Linked DNA regions of Rattus norvegicus. The protein of the gene in region 1 interacts with the protein of each later gene in a pairwise test. Links are inferred from orthologs where the notes say so. Each region holds a gene or a part of one and is shown on either strand. Other genes may lie near its edges.

Region 1 (6,620 bases):
CATTGATGTCGAGTGTCCAGTCTTAAAACGAGTGAGAGATGAGCCTGAGCCTGGACCAACCCCCAGCCTACCTCCCGCCTCAGACTTGTCACCTGCTGTGGCCCCTGCAACCCGGCTGGGGCCCTATATCCTTTTGGAACGAGAGCAAGGCAACTGCACCTATCGGGCCCTGCACTGCCCCACAGGCACAGAGTACACCTGCAAGGTATATCCTACGGGCTCTCCCCCTAGCATCCCAGGACCCTGCAAAAGGCCTGGGATCCAGAGGACTGCCGCTTTCTAGCTTTGTAGGTTATCACTGGGTTCTTCAACTGACATGGAGCACCACACGTACAATGTACTTACTTGCCTTGGTCAAAAACCAGACCCAATCGGGGTGTGGTGGCACATGCCTGTAATCCTAGCACTAGAGAGGCTGAGGCAAGAGGCTTGCTCTGATATTCAGGCAAGCCTAGCGTACATACTGAGAACCTGTTTGAAAATGAAAAAACAAATCTAGACCCAGTGCTATTGCTTGCACGCTTGTAATTCTACACTGGGAAAGTGGAAGCGGGCAGGTCTCTGGAGCCAGATAGCTGGTCAGCCAGCTAGCCTATTCAGGGAGTTTGTTCAGAGGTCAGTGAGAGACTCTATCTCAGGTAGAGAGGAGAGAAAGAGAATGAATAAAGAGCTGGAGACATGGCTCAGTGATTAAGAGTGCTTGTAACTCTCTCGGAGACCCAAGTTCTGTTCCTGGCATCCGCTTGAGGCAGCTCGCCACTGCCTATATAATTCCAGGGCTCTGACCTCCTCAAGCATCTCACTCGTGTGCACATACTCATACACAGACAGACAGACAGTCACACACGATTAAAAATAAATCCTGGGGCTGGGGATTTAGCTCAGTGGTAGAGCGCTTACCTAGGAAGTGCAAGGCCCTGGGTTCGGTCCCCAGCTCCGAAAAAAAAAGAACCAAAAAAAAAAAAAAAATCCTAAGACAAAGATGGGATGGAATCTGAGAAATGACAACAGAGGCTTTCCTCTGCCTGCCACAAGAACACACACACACACACACACGTGCACACTTACACACACATGTGCACACACACACATGTGCACACAGCAGAAGAGCATGGGCAATGATGGAAAAGAAGCTGGTGTCAGTGGGGAGGGAGAAGCAAAGAGAGGAGGAGACACGTAGGGATGCAGGGGAGCATAAGGCAGTCTGGGAGGGCCTCGAAGATGATAAAGGGCGGCCGTGTCAGAAGTTGAAGGAGGCATGGGGAGGAGGGTCCAAAGGCAGTGTGTCCCCGCTGTGGGTATAGGAGGCACAAAGGGCCAACCACATTGATACTCACCTTTAATTGCAGCACTTGAGTGGTGTATTTTTGTAAGTTCGAGGCCAGCCTGGTCTACCTACTGAGTTTCAGGACAGCCACAGAGACACAGAGAGACCTTGTCTCAGAGAGCTCACCCCTTCTCCTGTGCAAAGGTGCCGGGACAGGACCAAGCTCTGGGGGAGAAAGAAAGGGTAGTCTGTGTATTTATTTCCTCCGTGCTACCCTAGATCTTTCTTTTAAGGTCCCATGGTTCACGTTTTACAGCACACCTGAGTTTAAAGTCAAAAGCAACAAAGTGCCACATCAACTCTGTGACACTAGCTTCTAGCAGGCATCCAGGGTGGCCTCTCACAGGCCACTTCCTTTTTCTGAACTTTGGTTTCTTTCTCCATCATAACTGGGCCCTCCTTCCAGGTGTTTGTATCCACAAACTCTGAGCTGTTCCCAGCTGCCTCATGGCCCACCCATATGACTGCCTCCCTCGTCCTCCTGGCCACCTTCGAGCTTTGCCTGCAATTTGAGAACAGGTTGATGTCTTGATTACCTCAGGGCCTTTGCACTGCTTGTGCCCCCAACACAGGGGAGCTTTTTCCTGTGGTGTCTTTGGATCATTTGGGCCACTTTTCCTAAGTCAAGTAGGTCCACATTTTTTTTTTTTCTGAATCAGAGTCTCACCTGCATAGCTCTGGCTACTTTGTAGACCAGGCTAAGCCTCAAAGTCAGAGAGCCACTGCCTCTGCTTCCTGAGTCCTGGGATTAAACTACAATGTCAGGATGGCACTTTTAAAATAGGTGCTCCCTTCTAAAATAACAACCCACACTTTCCTAGTAAAGACTAGTTTAAGTCCGAGATTGCAATATAAAATTTTCCGGGAGAGGTAAAAAAAAAAAAAATTCCGGATTCTAGCATCTTTCTTTGGAATATATGGTTATGGCTTGCTTGTGCTGCACTGTAGACACCAGGAGAACAGGAGCAATGGCTGTGAGTCTAGTCAGCGGAGCAGGGGCGGCATACAGGCTACTGAGCTGTTCTTAGACTGGATGTGTGGGAAAAGGGGGATTACAGTGGTGATCTGCCTCCAGGATCCGTTTTTTGTCTAGGTTACATCCTAGTTTCTGAGGCCTAAGTCACACCAGGTGACTTAAAGCAGAGATGGGTGCACAGGTTCTAGTCCCAAATGTGATACTTGCTGGCCTTGTGGCCCCGGGCTCTCCTGACTTGTGGTTTTGTGGAGAATCGGCTGATATTTGTCTATGAGTGATTTGCTAAGCAAGGGCCTCTGTAGGTGTAGCTCACAGAATTGGCTGTCGCCTTTTGCTGAGCCAGCCTAACTTGCTAGGTCCTTGGTGCTTACTCCTGACTCTGTTCGCAGGTGTATCCCGCCAGCGAGGCCCAGGCGGTGCTGGCACCGTATGCAAGACTGCCTACCCACCAGCACGTGGCCCGTCCCACAGAGGTCCTGCTGGGCTCTCAGCTCCTATACACCTTTTTCACGAAGACCCATGGGGACTTGCACAGTCTGGTGCGCAGCCGCCGCGGTATCCCCGAGCCCGAGGCTGCCGCGCTTTTCCGACAGATGGCTAGTGCGGTGGCACACTGCCACAAGCACGGGCTCATCTTGCGCGACCTCAAGTTGCGTCGATTTGTCTTCAGCAACTGTGAGAGGTGAGTGTGACCCCAGAGGCACACTTGAGAGGTAGGCCATGGTGGGGAAAGTGAGGTCCAGGAGAGTAGAGTAACCTAGGAAGAGCTAAGGTACAGCTCAGTGGTATACCTGTGCTTAGCATGTGGAAGGCTCTGCATTCGATCCTCAGCAGCAAAAGAAAGACAGGGAAAGAAATCCCCAGCGCTGAGTGACAGCTGTTCCGTGGAATCTGTAGCCCTACCACCTGAGCATGGGGGCAAGGGGCAGAGACAGGTGGATCCCCAGAGATCACTGGCCAGCTAGTTTATTCAATTGGTGAGCTACTGTTTCAAATTAAATAAGGACTAAAGGAATAGCTGCGGGTGGTAGCATACACCTTTAAATCCTGGCTGAGGCAGAGGTAAATGGGATCTCTGTGAACTGGAGGTCAGCTAGGTCTACAGGGTGAGTTTCAGCCCAGTCAGGGCTATGTCTCAGGCTATGAGATCCTGTCTCAGAAAAAAAAAAGTGTGCTGGGGGAGGGAAGAGTTGTAGAGATGAGTCAGTGGTTAAAGTACACATTGCAAGCAAAGGACCCATATTCAGTTCCCAGCCCACACCGTGGCTAACAATCACCTATAACTCCAAGTCCAAGGTATCTGACAAACTCTTCACAGGCACTGCATGCTCATGGTGCCAAACATACAGGCAGGGAAAACACCCATTTGCGTAAAATATAATAAAAATAAATGAAAAAAGAAAGAAGCTAAGTGGTGATGGCTCACTCAGAAGGCAGAGGCAGTCTGATCTCTGAGTTCAAGGCCAGCCTGGTCTACAGAGTTCCAGGACAGTCAGAGGTAGGTAAGACTCTGACCCTTCAAAGCCCAAACCAAACCAAACAAGCGCTCAGGAGGCAGAGACAGGAGGATAGTAATAAGCCCAGACTGGACAACGTAGTAAAATCCTTTTTCTGAGAAACAGACCCACCCCACCACTAACACCTGGCCAAAAATAAAATAAAATAAAATAAAATAAAATAAAATAAAATAAAATAAAATAAAATAAAATAAAATAAAATACAGAGTGGGGAGATGGCTTAGTGGCTGCTTTTCCAGAGGACCTGAGTAGGACCTGATCTTTCTGTCTGTGACCCAGGACGAAGTTGGTGCTGGAGAACCTGGAGGATGCCTGTGTGATGACTGGACCAGACGACTCTCTGTGGGACAAGCACGCGTGCCCTGCCTATGTGGGACCAGAGATACTCAGCTCCCGGCCATCCTACTCCGGCAGAGCGGCTGATGTCTGGAGCCTGGGCGTGGCGCTCTTCACCATGCTGGCTGGCCGATACCCGTTCCAGGACTCTGAACCAGCCCTGCTCTTTGGCAAGATCCGTAGAGGGACCTTTGCCCTGCCTGAGGGCCTATCAGCCTCTGCTCGATGCCTCATCCGCTGTCTCCTCCGCAGGGAGCCTTCAGAGCGACTTGTGGCCCTGGGAATCCTGCTACATCCCTGGTTGAGGGAGGATTGCAGCCAAGTCTCTCCTCCACGGTCTGACCGAAGGGAGATGGACCAGGTTGTCCCAGATGGGCCACAGCTGGAGGAGGCAGAGGAAGGGGAGGTGGGGCTGTATGGCTAGAGCCACCTTAACTGGCCCTTCAGCTCCAAGGTGTGAGTTGAGTACTGGTGTCTCAGCTTTCGCCTGCCTTTTTGGGCCAAGCTAAACTGTAAGTGCCTTTCTGGAGGAAGAAACAGCCATTGTGCTTCATGCATTCCTGTGCACAGTGGGGTGATGCTGTCTGGATGACAAGCCCTGTTCTAGGTGCTGTGAACAGCAAAGAAAAAAAAAAAAGAGGGAGAAGCATACCTTGCTGGCCGAGTTACCACAGTGCCACATGCTCCCAGGCCAGCATCTACCCTCTGCCCGGGGCATATTTCATACCAGGGCTGGCCTTCTCTGGTCTGGTGCTAGGCTTCTGTTCATGGGACAGTCCCTTTCATCAGTGCCCCAGCTGCCTTCTGTCTTGTGCCTTTAAACAAAGGGAACATCTCTGTGCCAAAGACCAAAGTCCCCATTCACCCTGTGCCTTGGGGCCACAAGTGAGGCCAAGCTGGGATTGTGGCCTCCAGGCAGGAGAACCTGCTTGAAGACCTGGCTGCTGGACTCAAGCCAAAAGGATGAGACTCCAATAAAGAGGCATCTGGCTCAAAGAATGGTCTAGAATGAGGATCCAGGTCTGTCTACCCTGGTAGCCTCCAGCTGGAGCATCAAAGTTGGAGGGGGAAGGACCAGGCAGGGACTGTCCTATTGCCATTTAGAGTCTCAGGCCCTGCTCTTGGGATTCTTAGTATCCAGGACTGCTGTCAGTTTGATGACTTTGGTTTGGTTGAGTATGTATTTTCACCATGTGCCCAATAAAAGAGAGCTGTGTGGTTTTACATGTGAGAGAGCTCTACCTCCTAACATCCTTGGCGACTTTCCCTGCCTTCAACACTGGCCCCACCATGAAAGCCAGGTACAGCCCAGCCCCTACCAAGTGGCTTGTGAGAGAATTCTCCTACTGATCTCCCTGTACACACCTTTTCTTCTAGAGACCTTGGGTCTCAGGTGGGGAACTTTCTTTTTTTTTCTTTTTTTTTCCGGAGCTGGGGACCGAACCCAGGGCCTTGCGGTCGCTAGGCAAGCGCTCTACCGCTGAACTAAATCCCCAACCCCAGAGGGGAACTTTCTAAGCTGAGGGCTGGGGTTCAGCTCAGGTGTAAGCACATCTAACACACTCAGGATTATGGGGCTCCATCCTCGGCCCAAAGGGGCACCAGTTTAAACCGGAAGGAACACACTTTGCATAAAGACAGGTCAGTGAACAGGATAGTTTCAGGGCAGGTCAGTCTGGCTCTCCAGGCTGTTGTCAGAATGCCTGCTTTCTTGACTCCTTCAGTTCTTGCTGGTTTCCATGGAGGCAGCTGGCACTTATGTCACACTGCACAAAGAGAAGTGGCACTGCCACACTTATGAACACTTGAGAGTCAGGCTGCCCCACGTGCAGTCTGTCCACAACACACCAGTTGTTGGATGGACCCTCAGCAAGTTCTTTTTTTTTTTTTTTTGGTTCTTTTTTTCGGAGCTGGGGACCGAACCCAGGGCCTTGCGCTTCCTAGGCAAGCGCTCTACCACTGAGCTAAATCCCCAACCCCCCTCAGCAAGTTCTTTACCATTGTATATACCTCAGGTTCTTCATCTGGAAAAGCAGAGAATAGGATCCAACCTACGAGACAACTATGGGCTCTTTTTTTCTTTTCCATATCGTGTGTGTGTGTGTGTGTGTGTGTGTGTGTGTGTGTGTGTGTGTATGTGCACACACGTGAGCACATGCACGCGTATGAGGGTGCACAGAGGCTGGAGGTAGATAAATTGGATTGTCCTTAATTACTCTTCCTCCTCCACCTTATTCCTTGAAGAGGGTCTCTCTCTCCTCTCTTTCCCTCCCTCCCTCCCTCCTTCCCTCTTTCTCTTTCCAAGACAGGGTTTCTCTGTGTAGTCTCTACTGCCCTGGAACTTGCTCTGTAAACCAGGCTGGCTTCAAACTCAGAGATCCGCCTGTGTCTGTCTCCTCAGTGTTGGGACTAAAGGCAAGTGCCACCACTGCCTGACTGAGAAGGGTCTCTCAGTCAAACCCTG
Region 2 (7,258 bases), on another chromosome or scaffold:
CACCAGTAGAGAGAGCAAAGTCTTATGCCATTTGGTACGGGACGTAGGCCATGGTTTTAGGAGTCCTCAGCAAGCAGGTTTACATTAAGTCTGTACCTCAACCAAGGACAGCAGGGAAAACTGGTTGCGCCACCACAGAGGGCAAACTGGACTCTTTCCAGCAACACAGTGCCAAACACAGGTGGCAAAAGAAAGATCATGTGGAATGAGCACGCTGGGGACAAACAGCACACGCCTGTCACAGGGACCAGGAGACACGTCAGTGCAGACGGGTGCACTCCTAAGGAGAATTCACACACACACACACCTGCCTTCTCCCCTGAGCCTGCCTCCTCCATTCTTGGTCCGGTGGGGTTTGTCCTCAGAACAGGGTTCACTGTCCCTGCTCCAGGCAATTCTTTGCCTTTAAACAGCGTTAGATCTCAAATGGGGACACATAACTACCTACAGCAGAGTGGAATTAGCATGGAATCTGCCTCCAGGTGACCTCTGCCTGTTGGGAGGCATGACCGTCCACCCTTCCAGAAGGTCACAGCAAGCAGAACTCAGGAGGGAGGTAGTGTGATTTAATATGGGCTAGTGATGGGAGCACTGGGCCCTCCGTGGCAATGGGCTGTCCTCTGACGTGGGTTGTTCAAAGGGACATGGGTGCTGGTCTATAAATCCTCCACCCCATCTGCCTGCTTGCTGGGTTTTGCTGACCTTCAGAGCAGCAGATTCAAGTGGCCTTGGAGACTTATATCCTCCTCCTCAAATAAGATGCTTACCAAACTGCTCAATGCTTATTCTCTAAGGCCCCCTTCTAGAGAGCATACACCTTTGGCCACATGGTCACCTAGAGGATGCAAGCAGAGATCCTGTACCTTCCCTTGTATAAGGCCTCCTCTTGGCTGCTGAGAAGGAAGATGGAGTGCAGATCATTATCCCAAGCCTTGCCAACCAGTGGCCTGATATAAGAACACCTGTTGTATTCAGCTCAATGGGGGTCTAGCAAAGGAAAGCCTACCCCAACTAAGGTCCCAAATAGATGCAAAGATCAAACATTTAGGCCAGTTAAAAAATTTGATGATCTGGACTTGGAGAGCTGCTGCCCCACCCCCATGCTTCCTGTGGCTTCTGCTATAGACTGGATCATCCACAACTGCCTGTCCTCTGTGAGTCAAGAGAGCTGTATAGAGTGGAGCAGGACTGCCACTGGTGGTCTTGGGGACTCAGGGCCAGCCACCAGGACACCAGACTTGCCTAGAGTGGTCTTGCTTGTGGGGTAGGGAGAGCTTAGGTCAAGGTGAACTGAAGCTGGTCAGGTTCTAAATAGATGAGCTGGTATTCACCCTCTATACACAATCCCCTTCTTAAAGGCCAGCAGTCTGCAATTCCCCCAACCTGAGCTGGTCTATTTCTATGCTGGTTTTAGCATTTACCTGCCGTCCACCATGGCAAAGATCCCCAGTCCATCCTGTCGACTGCCTGAGTAGGTGCTCAGCATGGGTCTCGCTGCAGTAGAAGACTCCTTACTTGGGTCTTCTACATCCACCTCACTGGCCAACACAGCCTAGCTTCTGCTCGCCAACAAGGGTGAGCCAAAAGCCTGCCGCAGAAGTGGGGCTGCTGCTGTATCATCCTACCCACACCCGGGCCCCACCTTGTTCCCTGCCCCCAGCACACTCCTCCTAGATCAGGTCCTCCACCCAGCCTGCCAGCCCTTCGTTGGACCTCTGTCTTAGAAGGCAAGTTTCACAAAAGCTGAGCTGTTCATCTTGTGTTCAGTTGGCATCCCTGATAGTTTGTAGTGCATGCTGAGCAATCACCAGTGATAGGAAAACTGAAGGCCATTCTCTGCCAACTAATGGGCACCCAGAACAGCTCCAGTCTGAGCTGGCTAAACAGTACTTCCAGTCTTTTGTCAATACCTGGCAAGGGCTGTAAGTCACCATGGTGAGGGTGGCTAGATCTTAGCTGACTCTTTGGGTCTTTTACCTCAGGGTGCACCTAACAGATCAGGTGTGGTGACACACGGTCTATAACCCCAGCACTTGGAAGGTTCAAGGTCATCCCTGGCCACATATCAAGTTCAAGGTCAACCTGGGCTATGGGAAACCCTGTTTAGAGCATTGCCAGGGTGGACATGTGACATTACATAGAAGTGGAACAGCTGTAGTTCTCACGCACAAAGAACATCTGCCAAGTGAAGGTTAGTCATTGTCTCCAAGGGCCTCCACCAGTTTCTGCCCCGCTGTCACTCAGGCCCTTCCTCCCCCCACCATATCCTTGTGCTGGATTAAGCTGCCCCTGGGCCAAATGGAATAATGTTGAGGGTGATGGTAGGCTTTTTACCTCGCCTTGGGAGGATCTGTAGTAACAAACTGAAGGGTTGGAGTGGGGCTTGCCACCTGTCACAGGAAATAGTAGCTGTATCCCTTAAGCCTAAGAGAAACCTAATCCTCTTTGTGTTCAAGGACTGTACCTTATCTAGGTACTTACACAGCAGGTATCTGGCACAAGGCCAGTATGAACAGGTGCAATTCTGGGCTGGCCCTCACTAACCCAGAGCCCCCTCCCTCCAGCTAGTCTTTACCTGTCTCACTACCTGAACAGCTCAACTCATCCAGGTAGCTATCGTATTCAACCCAGACCTTGTGCAGTCTATTAGAAAGAATGACACAGAAAACTTCCATGGCTACTTTCACTACAAAATAATTTATTACAGCAAACACAGCATCACAAGACTATGTACAAGCACAAAGCACCTGACTACCCTATTAAGGAACTCTCTTCTTCCCCCTTGCCTTACGGACCTCTTCTATCAGGTCTTTTAGATACTGAATCTCTTTGGCGAGAGAATCTGCCTTCTCTTTCAGAGCCTCGTTCTTCTTTTCTAGCTCTTTACACTCGCCAGTGAGGGCTTCCTGCTCAGCCCTCTTCTTCTGGCGGTACCTAGTAGCTGCTGTCTTGTTTTGCTCCATCTTTTTCAGCTTCTTATCCAACTTTTCAGTCTTCACTTTAGCTGTCACACTAACTCCAGGTGGGTCATAAGGTTTGGGTCGAGAACCACGAGGAACACCTGGAGAAGGCAGACTGTCTGGTGGGGCCCTGGAGGTGGAAGGGCTGTGTTGGGGAGAGCCCAGGTAGGACTCAGGGCTCATACAGATGCCACTGTCACTATCAGAGGGAGTGTCTTCCTCCTTTACACACTGAGGGGTTAGAGTAATATAAGCAGCAGAGTCAGGCTTCCTATCTCCTTCAGAGATATCAACCTCACTTCCCAGCTCTAAACTAAAGGAATGATCTGGAGTGGAAGACAGAAACCCTGGGGAACAGGGAAGAGGCTGCAAGAATGTAAAGGGGGCAGCCTGGTCGACTTTTATTACACTTTCTGGGAGATGGCCAATTGGGTTCACTGTCTGAGGGGGCTCCTTATTAGTCTCTTGGACTAGAGGGGCAAAAAGATCACATGTGTCATCCAACGTGGCCAAAAGCTCATCTGGCATGGTTTCCAGGTCATCCATTCGAAACAGAGCATCGAAGTCAAACTCTTTCAGGTCCATTTTCTCCAACATCCAATCTGTCCCGGAAAAGGCATCCTCTGGGGAAAAAAATTTCAGGAGAGAACGGTTCATACTAGAGGCAGAAAACCTTTAGAACACCAAACCCACATGAAAAGAGCACACTGGTGCAGGTGTCCTCCCTACTCACCCTTGCCGGTGTCTGAGGCACTGACCAACCCATCCATAGCCAGCCATTCTGAGGAGCCCGCCTTGTCGCTGGAGAACCCATGAGGTTTGAAGTGCTTGGCCACCTCCAGATAGTCATCTAAGAGACCTAGGCTTTCTTCAGCCCCCAAACCCGACTGGTCGAAGGGGGACATTAAGTCCCCCGCCAACACTTCGCTGTTCAGGAAGCTCATCTCGGTCATGTTGTAGGGATTTGCTGGTATCGAGGAATGTGCTTAACTCGAAGGTATCTTTGTCCGTTACAGCAACGCTGCTGCTGGGTTTCGTGAAGAGCCTGCATAAGGATCCAAAAGCAAGTTCAATCATCTTTCTATCTAGGATGCTGGATGACAAAATCCCAAAAGCTTCTAAATGGAGAGCACGTGGGCTCAAGGCCATTGTGTAAGCTTCCCCAGCCGCCAGCTCGGGTTGCACAAGATGGAGGCTTAGCTTTGCTTCACCGGCCACCCGGAGGAAGCAGCTTGTCCTCAAGTCCTAATACGGCCAAGGCCGTCGCGCCCCGCCCCCGTGACTCACACCCCCCCCCCGCCCCACCGCCATCTTGGCCTCGCCACGTTCGCAGAATGACACCGGGAACCCGGGGGGGCGCGAGACGACTAAGTTAAGAGAGGACGAAGAGGAAGTAGCAGGGTTTTAGGCACTACTCCCTCCACGCCGCCTGCCCAACCCTCCCCGTGTGCGCCGGCGTTGCGGGGCCACCCAAACAAGGCCGACGCGTCTGGCCGCTTGTAAAGCCGCGTATGCTGGTCAACGCGCCCAGGCCGCACCCAAACACAGCAAAGCACACGCCCGCGCAGTCGGCCCAATACTCACGCCATGGCTTAAGCCGGTGGGGGTTGCCGCTGCAGAGCCTGGTGCTGCTGCCGCCGCTGCAAAGGCCAACGCTGCCGCAGGCTCTGCTGCCTCTAATACGCCATGGTGGCCGCAAGCCCTGCGGGAGGGGAAGAGGAAAGGAACAGCGTACAGAGAGACATCTACCACAGAGCAAGCAGAAATGGCGGCGACACGCCCTAAACCCGCCTTTTATAGAATCGGTGAGGGACGCAGTACACCCCGTATCCTCCCACCGTGGTCACGTGATCCCGCCGCCGCTCCACCTAACCCTATCCCATTGACGCTCTGGCCCGTCCAAACCCTTCTCCGCTGTGCTCGGGGAGTAACTGGGGCGTTACAGAGTATCCTGAAGGCCCCATGAAGGAAGAAAAGTGCACTACTTTATAGGTTTGCGACCAACTGAAGTCACGTTCCGGAGTGCGGAGGGATCGCTCGTTACGGAACTTCCGGTGTCTTACAGGGCGTGGAGAGACACCTAACCAAAGCTATGACGGTCAAAGCCAAAGCTGCCTGGTTATCACGCGAGACGCCGTAGGAGCGCGCGTCGAGCTGATTGGCCCAGGCGTGACGAGTCATCTAAACCTTAAGTTTCTATTGGCTCTGAACCTGGGCGCCCTAGGAGCACTAATATCGGGAAGAGCCACCAGAGGTTCCGGGTACCAGACTCTTACAGCTACCGACTCATCAGAGGTCACCCCAATGTAGTTGCTCTCTCCGGCATCGCTCCCGGGCAGCTTTGGTCCAGCACGGAGCAAACAGCTTTCCAGGAGTGACACTTGGGCTGAAAGCCCTCTTTCCCTGTATTTGTTGTTCTCAGAACCAAATGGGCAGAGCTTTAGGCATATAGAAAGGTCCTCTGGAGTTACCTGGTCCAATCCTGTCAGTCCAGGGACCGCACTTTGAGACAGGGCGTTCATGTTGGGGCCTTATTGGGAGATACTCCGGTTCCTCCAGCCCTGCATCTTTCCTCTGAATCCTGTACTGGGAAAATATACCTAACCTTAGATCTAACCTACTCTAAAATATGCCCATCACTGCTGGTTTGTATAGGGTCAGTTCCCTTAATATTGTGTTTTATTCAGTTGGATCTCAAGCCCTAGAGTAGTTCTGATTAACTCCCAAGTCTTAACTTCCTGGTATAGCCTTACCAAGAAGTCATCCTGGTGAGTGAGCAGCTGCTTAAGTGGTTGGAAGCCCCAAGTACTGGTCAAGGACAACTCACCATAAAGGATGCTGTTTTGGAAGTGCTGAGAGGCCCTCTTCCCAACTCCAGCCTGCAATCTTTTGAGTTTCCACGTCTTTTTAAGTGACTCATACAAATACCACTCAATTGGCACAGTGCCCGCCCCTTACTGCTCAGTAATTATTTGCAAGCCAAGTACTCCAGTACACACAATCCTAGCACTCGGGCACCATGGTTCAAGGTCATCCTTGATTACATGGTTATTGATTGCTATTTATTAATTCAAACCTAATTCCCAAGTCCCTCTCTCCCTAACTCCATGATTCATCTTCCTTCCTCAGAGGACCTTTCATTATTATTTACTGAGACTAAAGCAACTAAATAAATAACGCACAAGGCCTACATAATGAGATGTTTCTATCGACAAAGAAGTCATGAGTACATGTGCACACAAACAGAAGTTTCCTAGTCTCTCCATGCAAAGGATAACTATGTCCTCCCTTTGCTCTGGAAACAGAAACAGGAGCCACAGTTATATTGTTAAGTAGACATCCCTTACATGTTTCTGTCCCCTAAGTGTAATGTATCCTACAAATGTTTTTTAACTTATGCTGAATTTGTAACCCCGTGATGTATTTGCTAAACTCCTGAACCTGTGATACATGACTGCCTCTTGCTATACAAAACTGTGTCTCCCCAGAAACCTTCCACATGGCACAAGCTTGCACTTCTTTTTATGGCCGCCTTTCTAACAGCTAATTATCCTGACAGCTGTTTCCTATCACATGCTTCTACCCCACAGGCAGTCTTGAGTCCCCCACTCTTCTGTTCAGGTGCTAACAGCCAATTATCCCAACAGCTGTTTTCTATCAACCCTAATGTTTTCCCATAAAAGGGACCTCCAACACCAGTGAGGGGCTGCTTGGCTGGCCAGTCTAAATAAAGTTTGCTTAACCAAACAGTCAAGGAAATGTTTTTTTTTCTCAGCTCTAACCAAAGGCTCCTGAACATACAGGTTGGTCATACAGAGGTTTAAAACCATTGACCCTGATTTGACATTATAGAGATCATAGGAGAATGTCTGGTGGCTTCTTTCCCCCCATCCTAATCCTAGCACCATGTAAGAAAATACCTGATACTACATACACAAGTCAGAGTTGTTGGAAAGGAGATTTTTATTTTCTTCTTCCCATGCTGCAGAAGACGCTGTTTTCACCAGTTCAATTCCTCTCCTTCAAGGAGCAAAAAGGAATAAAGGTTCTCTGGGCCTTAGAGCTAAGCTGCTCCTACATGGGCCCAGTCAAGATAGGACACAAAGATTAGTGACTACCAGCTTAACACAATGACCACCAGAGAAGGGCAGGCAAGTGACTGGAAGGCAAGTTGTGGACCTGGCCTGAGACCAAGGGTTTAAAGACTACAAGGTGATCAAAATAAAAGTTGACACCCGCCTCACTCCCACCTGCAGTTAAATATAGAACTCTACATGCTGGTATTCTGGACACTTAGT
Region 3 (7,467 bases), on another chromosome or scaffold:
GTTTGAGTTCCTGCCCTGATTTTTTTCACTGATGGACAGTGATGTAGAAGTGTAAGACAAATAAACCTTTCCTTCCCCAACTTTCACATGGTCATGGTGTTTGTAGCTTTAACAAACAAACAAAACTCCATTCCTGCTTCCTCAGGGACCTCAAGGCTAACAACTGCTCCCTGGGTATCTCAGCCAGCCAGAGAAGGACATCAGACAGTATTATCTGACCTCTGAGAGGGAAGCTATGCAATAGAGTTAACCAGCATTCTGTGCTCACCATAAGCAGCTATCAGAGGACAAGGAGGGGCCTCTGCTCCTTGGTACTTGAGCAGGCCAAGGTGGTGGAGTCTGTTTCAGAGGTTCATACAAGGACCCCCTCTGGGGGTGGCCTCTTCTTATGTCCTCCTAGAGCTGACACACTGGGTAAGGAGCCCACTACCTACCACAGCCACGCAAGTCACTCACTGAGGACGAATCAGAGACCTGTGATGATCTAAGAGTCTTTGGTTTTTTTGAAAGGTCATATGCTGTCCAAGATGGCCTCAAATTTAATTTACAACTGAAGATAAACTTTGGCCTCTGATCCTCCTGCATCCACGTCCTGAGTGCTGGGATGACAGATGCTATCAGGCCTGTGTGCAGGGCTAGGGGCAGAACCCAGGGCCATGTGCCTGCTTGGGCCTTCCACCACTGAGCCACATGGCCAGCCCTCCTGAGGCTGCTTTGGGAGCACATGGATACAATCCTAAACCTGGTTGCCAGAATTATCCCCAGGCCAAGCTCACTCTCCACATTCCTGGGCTAAGGTCACCCAAGCCATGAGCCTTACCAGGGATTTGCTCCACGCTGGCCTGCTGGTGTTCCTCACACTTCCGGGATCCCTGACCATTCCTCCTGCTCCTCTATGCACAGTACCGAGCATCCTGTAAATCATGGCCATCTGCTGAAGGCTGGACCCAGACTCTCTTGGACACCTGCCACACAGGACTTTACCAGGCCGTGCTGGGGGTTCACTCAGTTGTTCTAGTGGATCTCACTTGTCACGATGGGAAAGCTCAGGGCAGAACCAGAGTAGGGTGCAAGGTCAGGGTGCAGGGGACCTGGTCACTCCAGTGAGAGTGCTGGAGTCTCCTATAGCCATGCTGACTCCATAGGCGAACCACTGGCAGCCACGATCCATAGCCCTATCTTCAGGGGATTACTGGAGACCTGCTTCACAGATTCAAGTGTTCCTGTGGGTAACCCCGTAACTCAGTCTGCATTTCCTTAACATCAAGAGATGTTACGCGGCTCAACATGATCACTATAAAACACACTCAAATGTACCTCTTGGCTGGCCAGTTACTATGGCAACAGTGATCCCTCAAGCAAACAGGTGCTTACCCTAAAGACAGGCTCCTTCCCACAGTTAGGAGCTAAGGTCAGAGCTTGCTTTGGGGCACCCACTCTCAGGAACTTTTGTTTCTTGGACTAATAGTATTCTGTGCAGAATCTAATATCAATCAACTTCCTCAGGGCAGTCCTGGTTAGGACACGTCTTTCTTCTGAGTCTTCTCAAAATGTGCTTAGATTGTGACTTCACTGACTAGCAGTCTTTGTCCCTCCAGACTGGTTGGTCCAAGGCCATAAACTACCCAGCATGGCTACTGAAGATCAAACTCAGGTCTTCTGTGAAAGCAGTGTGCACTCAGCTGATAGCTTTTATGCAGGACCTATCCTTGATTGAAGTCAGGTCCTATGCTTGCTGGGCAAGCATTTTGCCAATGGAGCTGTCTCTGCAGGCCTCTCTGCCCATGACTGGAATGATCCAGCTGTGTTTGATGGTACTCTCCTTTGCCTATATATGCCATATTACCCTTGGTTTGTCCTCTGCTGCCAATGTAACTGTAACTAGCCTCGGTGTCATCATGGCCCTGTCTTTACTGATAGGCTGGTCACATGGCATATTCTTGCCAAGTGGGTGTACTTGACAATGAACAAATGTTACTAGTTACCTTTTGTTTGGCTTCATTGTTTTGTTTGAGATGGCCTCACTCTGTAGCCCAGGCTGGCCTCACACTTAGAGCAATCCTTCCTCCTCAGCCCCTCAAATGCTGAGCCTGCAGTCATGAGCCACCACACCCAACTTCTTTCTCTTGTGCTAGGCACACGGGTACTGTAGGGCTTCAGCCCCAGCCCTTTGGTTTATTCTCCGTTGTCTTTATGACTACCCCCAGACTCAGTCTCCCCAGTCCCCTCTCAAAGACAGACACACAGGCCACAGGAAAGTCTGCATTTTATTTGAGCCCACAACCCCTGGAGGATCAGCCCCCACCAGATGCAACCCTTCCCCCACACCTTCACAAAACACTGATTCTCTCACAGAGCTAAAATGACACCCTAGTTACCAACTACAGCCACCCCTTCCTGTCCCTAGGCCAGTATAGCCTTCTATTCTGAGGACTTGGTTCCCTTTCCTCGGCTGGCTTCTCACTTGTATTCTAAGTCCTCTCCTTAAAACCCTCCCTCCCTGACTAGGTTCTCATGTGCACAATCATCCAGAGTGGCTTCCTGCCTAATGTCCATGCCAGGCCTGGCAGCCTCCCCCCGACACCCAACTAGGACTACCTGCAAAAACACACTTGTTTTAAGACTCCAGAGACCAGGGATCAGGCTGGCTCCTCTGATTCCCTGAGGGCCTTGGTTTCTCAGTTGCACTGAAGGGGTACAGAAACTGACTATGCCAAATAACCCATAATGGGGATAGGCAGAGGGGAGACCTAGACACGGATGCACAGGGAAGTGAAATGGAGGGACAGGGTGAAGCTGGAGGCACAGGTACACCAGAACTGCCTCCTCCTGTACCCTAGGCACTGCGGGTCCTCTGGCTTCGTGCCTTATACACCTCAATTAGCAGATCCTTCACATACTGGATCTCCCGTTCCACTGACTCTGCCCTCTCCCTCAGCTCCCGATTCCGCGCCTCTAGCCCTTGGCACTCGCCCTCCAGGGCCTCGCCCTCTGCCCGCTTCCTCTGGCGGTACCTGAGAGCAGCTGACTTATTCTGGTCTCTCTTCTTTTGCTTGCGGTCCCCTCGGGTGCTGGCAGGACTAGGATAGGGGGCTGGTCGGGAGGGTGAAGGCAGAGGGGCCAGAGGAGGAGGCTGCTGGGGGACAGGCAGGGTTGTCAAGCCTGAATCCCCTGGCCCAGCCTCACTGCGGCAGTAAACAGCTAGCAAGTCCAGGGTATCCAGGGTAGGAGGCTGCGGGAGATCAAAGGTGGGCAAGGGTAAGGGCAGGGGCAGAGAGGGTGCTGGGGGTGGGGGTGGAGGTGGGGAGGGCGGTGGAAGGAGTGGGGCATCAAGGAAGAAGTCTTCCATCTGTTCTAGCTCCTTCTTGAGTAGGGATGCCATGGCTTCCAGGTCAGGGGGGGCAGGGGAGGGTGGGGGGAGAGTGCCTGGGGGCAGAGGGGCCTCCAGAGGAAGGAGGGCTGTGAAGTCCACCCGCTCGGTCATCCAATCAGAGAAGCCGTCACCTGAGGATGTGGGGGGAGGACATAAAAATCTCTAAGGTCTGTGCTTTATCCACTTGGTGTTCATTCATGCCCCATTCACTCAATGTGACAAGTGACCAGCCAGCCAACCATCCAATCTATAGACCTGTCAGCAACCAGTGAGTTAGGGAAGAAACTAATCAACCAATCAACCAACCAGCTAGCTAGTTTACCCATCAAGCCACTAACTAATGAACTAACCAACCAGCCAGCCAGCCAGCCAATCATACCTAGTTCATCAGCCAACCACCCAACAAATCATTAATCAATGAACAAGACAGCCAGCCAATCATCCAATCAGTTCACCAGGCCACCTGCTAATAAACTAATCAACTCATTAGCCAATCAATGAACAAGCCAACCAATGATTCAAATCAGTCAACCAACCGATTAATTGACCAACTAACCGATGAAATAATCAGTCAGCCACTCAGTGAAGCACTCGCCCAACTAATGGCCCACCCGACGAAGGTCAGCTCCCATCTCTATAATCCTTCTCCTTGACCAGGTTGGTCGACTGCACCCCACACTAGTGTCTCCTCTCTTTCCCTCACTTGTTTACTTATCTATTGTCGACAGAGTCTTGTGTAGACTAGGATAGCCTTGGACCTGTTCTGTAGTCTGTAGCTGAGGACAACCCTTAAACTTCTGACTCTCTCCCAGAGTGCTGGGATTATACTCACACACTTTCTCTCCTCCCTCCCCCCTCTGTGTGTTTGCGTGTGTGGGCGTGACTCTCTCCATCTTTATTTGCTCTCCTTTTGTGTTTCTCAGATGTTTGACAACTATGTTCTTACCAGGCTGCCTAGGTTGGCCTGGGCTCAAGAGGATGAGAAGCCTCTAACAGGGGAAGTTATGGACATAAGCCACCAGGCACAGTCTAGGACAACCATCTGTTGACTGCCTGCCTCAGAATCTCTGAGATAGCGCTCCCCTCAGGACTTATCATGGCTCCCTTTGCCCATCCCTTAGCCCTCAATCCAGAGGTTGTCTACTTAGAGAAGGCTGACTTCTCAACCATGTCTTCCTTTCAGCTAAGCTTTGGCTTCCCACCTCTGTCTCCTGATGCTTCCACGAGCTTTGGTATCCCTTGCTCTGCACCTTGCACATGAAGAACAGGGCTGGGCACACTGCAGGCCCTCTGTACTGATCTTGTGAATGAATAAATCCTTCCTTTTCTGTCCTTCCACACCCCGCCACCTTAACCCACCTCTCTTTTTCACCTGTTTCTTACCTGCCAGGGGCTCTCCCCCCCCTGGAAGCCCGCCCTCCAGGGCACCCCCAAGGACCTCATAGGGGCCCAGGGGGGCAGGGGCCAGGGGGAGTTTCCCATAGTCTACGAGCCAGCCCAGCCCGCTAGCTGGGAGCAGGGCCCTGTCCAGCTCCAGTCCCAGGGTCGCCAGGAGTGACATGGCTGAGGCACAGGTGCAGGGCTGCGATGGCAATGGAGGCTGCACCAACAACTGGGAGGCAGCGTGGAAGATTGTTCAGCTGGGTGAAGACAGGCACCAAGGCGAAGGTGGAGGGCCTGTGAGGAAGACAAGGTGGCGTGGGTGGGGTTGAGTCAAAGCTGCTTGACCCACAAGCTACCCACACTTTTCTTCTTTCTGCAAATTCCAGAGCTCCATACATTCCCAAGGCAACTTTTGGAAACTCCCCAGCCCCATCTCCTCCCTCAACACAGAAACCTAGTGTTCTCCCAGGGGAATTACTTCCAGCCCCTCCTACCTACCTCATCTTATTGCTCTTCGTAAAAAAATTCAATCCCAAGGTAATTTTATTTTCTTCTAGCCGTGCCCCTTCCGCATCAATATTTTCTTTAGACTATACGCCCTTTAGAGTTCACAGGGGTTCCCAGAATAATTCTGCCATGCCTTGGGCCCTTCATCAGTGTTACACACACAAATCCCACTCTTCCCTTAAAAGTTTTAGGTGACTTCTACAGATTCTACGGGAAGCCCCGCCCACACTCCTGTCTGTCAAGTCAGTTCCCGCCCCCAACTAGCAAGTCCCTAGAGGCCCCGCCCCTTGGTTCTAGCTCCAAGTCTTTCTTAAAGGTGTTCTTTAGCCTTCCCTGTCAATCTAAGCCAGTCCCCGCCCCAGCAGGTGCCTGATTGGAGGGAAGTTGGACCAGTGTCAGAGCCTCGAGGAACTCCACCCTTCCTCGCTGATTGCTCGCTAAGCCGCAAGACGAAAGCTCAGACCCTGGACCGGATTCATTGTTACGCCACTACCCTCCTGGGGGGACCAGTGCGTGTGTTTAGCCAATTACCGGCCGCCCTCCGTAGTTCAGGCCGGGAATAAGGTAATGCGCATGCGCAATAGAGTGTGGGTTCGTATCCTCTGAGGGGAAAGGAGGAAGAGGGTCTGTGAATTAGTGCGCAGGCGCAATGGCGCGCGAACCGACCTTAAAAGCCCCCAGACTCTGCGGAAGCACACCCTCCCCCACGCCTGGAGCCTAGTGCGCTTGCTCAGCGGATGCGCCGGCCACCGACTTCCCTCTTCTGCGCCTGCGCGACCGTGGTTCCTCATATCGTCTTCCCCACCCCCTCCCCACGAGGCTGACCCGTGAAGCCCCGCGAGCTCTGTGAAAGGGCGGGAAAGGCGGTTGGAGAGGGAGGGGCGAGCGGTTACTCACTCCATGGCTGCGAAAAGGAGAGGAGGCAACGGCGGCGGCGGCCTCAGTTGAAGAGTCGGTGTGAGCAGAGAGTGAAGTCGCGGTGAGCGCGGAAACGGGGCGGGGGACACGACGAGATCGCGGCTACAGAGCCATTGCACGGGCGGAGGCGGCGTGGCAGGAGCGTTAAGGGAGACTGCTGAGAGGGTTGAAAATGAGGCGGCCCCGGGGCCTGGGAACAAATATACCGGGGGCGGCGCAGCGCGGGATGCCTGGATCCCTCCGCGCTCCGCCCTCGCGGGGCCCCGACGGGGCGGTGGCGACCCCGGGCCCGCCATGTCGCCCTGACCCTTCACTCACTGCTTCAGGCTGGGGGCCCGGACTCTGTTTCCTGTATCGGTTGGATCCTATTCGATCTCTCTTACACCCGTAACCAGCTCATCCCGTTATCTATCCCTGCTTCACAAATTTGCCACCAGTCCCTAAAACCGATGTCGCTCCGAGAGACCTCGTGGGTTAAGCTCATCGCGGAATGGCGAGTTCAAGCTAGCTTAGGCTTCATAGACGAGTTCAAGGGAGCAACAGCGAGATGTCGCTGTTTATAGATATACGCACAAATATACCAGCTATGGAAAGTAGGCCACGGAGTCCTAATCAGGACTCTTAAACCTTCTTGTTTGTTTTAACGTTTATTGTGTATGTATGTGGTGGTCAAAGAAGAGCTAGCAGGAGTTGGTTCTCCTACTATATAGTAGGGTCCCAGGGATGGAACTCAGGTCAGATTGTTTGGCAGCCTTTCTCCACTGAGTCATTTCATCTACTACTAAAATCGTTTTATTTTCTTTTAGATTAAGCCCCCACCCCTGGGAGGGGGCCTGATTTCACCCCTTTTTATCTCCCTACCCCCGATTCTTAGCCAGCCAACATATCCATATGATCATTCTGTGTGTCCCACCTCCAAGGTTTCTGTTTCCAGCCATCCCTACTTGCTACATGCTGTGCTCATCATGCCACCCTCTTAGGTTTTGCCCCTTGCTCTGACTTCCTTGCAGTCCTTGCTCTCTTGCTGACCCCACTAGATAAATTGTTTCTTGATCCTGTCTGTCCCCCAGGATGATGGGGCGGTTTTCCGCCCCGTGTTCGAGTATAGCCGTCATTCCATGTGGAAGCCAGTCAGCCTATCATATTTGTAGCAGCTGAGAGACTGAATGGGTGGAGATGGAACTCAAGAGTGCTTGCCTGTTGCACACAAGAACCTTAGCACCCAGCACCACATGGACGGTGCTTGGTAGTTGTCTATATTCCCAGCATTTGGAAGATGGAAGCAG

The links.
Region 2: the proteins of Trib3 (region 1) and Atf4 interact in binary tests that used the Homo sapiens proteins (3 or more experiments, as listed by UniProt). The link is inferred for Rattus norvegicus from reciprocal best matches to the Homo sapiens genes TRIB3 and ATF4.
Region 3: the proteins of Trib3 (region 1) and Atf5 interact in a two-hybrid assay, tested with the Homo sapiens proteins (2 studies listed by BioGRID and IntAct). The link is inferred for Rattus norvegicus from reciprocal best matches to the Homo sapiens genes TRIB3 and ATF5.

Annotation. Positions count from the first base shown.
Region 1 is NC_086021.1:161,268,112-161,274,731, reverse strand, and holds the end of Trib3 (tribbles homolog 3), read left to right. Parts: coding exon 1-205; intron 206-2,692; coding exon 2,693-2,985; intron 2,986-4,099; coding exon 4,100-4,580; 3' UTR 4,581-4,793; downstream 4,794-6,620. UniProt on the Homo sapiens protein: Inactive protein kinase which acts as a regulator of the integrated stress response (ISR), a process for adaptation to various stress. Inhibits the transcriptional activity of DDIT3/CHOP and is involved in DDIT3/CHOP-dependent cell death during ER stress.
Region 2 is NC_086025.1:113,682,151-113,689,408, reverse strand, and holds Atf4 (cyclic AMP-dependent transcription factor ATF-4), read right to left. Parts: upstream 4,729-7,258; 5' UTR 4,545-4,728; intron 4,006-4,544; 5' UTR 3,914-4,005; coding exon 3,694-3,913; intron 3,619-3,693; coding exon of another isoform or gene 3,584-3,618; coding exon 2,760-3,583; 3' UTR 2,670-2,759; downstream 1-2,669. UniProt on the Homo sapiens protein: Transcription factor that binds the cAMP response element (CRE) (consensus: 5'-GTGACGT[AC][AG]-3') and displays two biological functions, as regulator of metabolic and redox processes under normal cellular conditions, and as master transcription factor during integrated stress response (ISR).
Region 3 is NC_086019.1:104,429,845-104,437,311, forward strand, and holds Atf5 (cyclic AMP-dependent transcription factor ATF-5), read right to left. Parts: upstream 4,952-7,467; 5' UTR 4,935-4,951; coding exon 4,757-4,934; intron 3,505-4,756; coding exon 2,837-3,504; 3' UTR 2,670-2,836; downstream 1-2,669.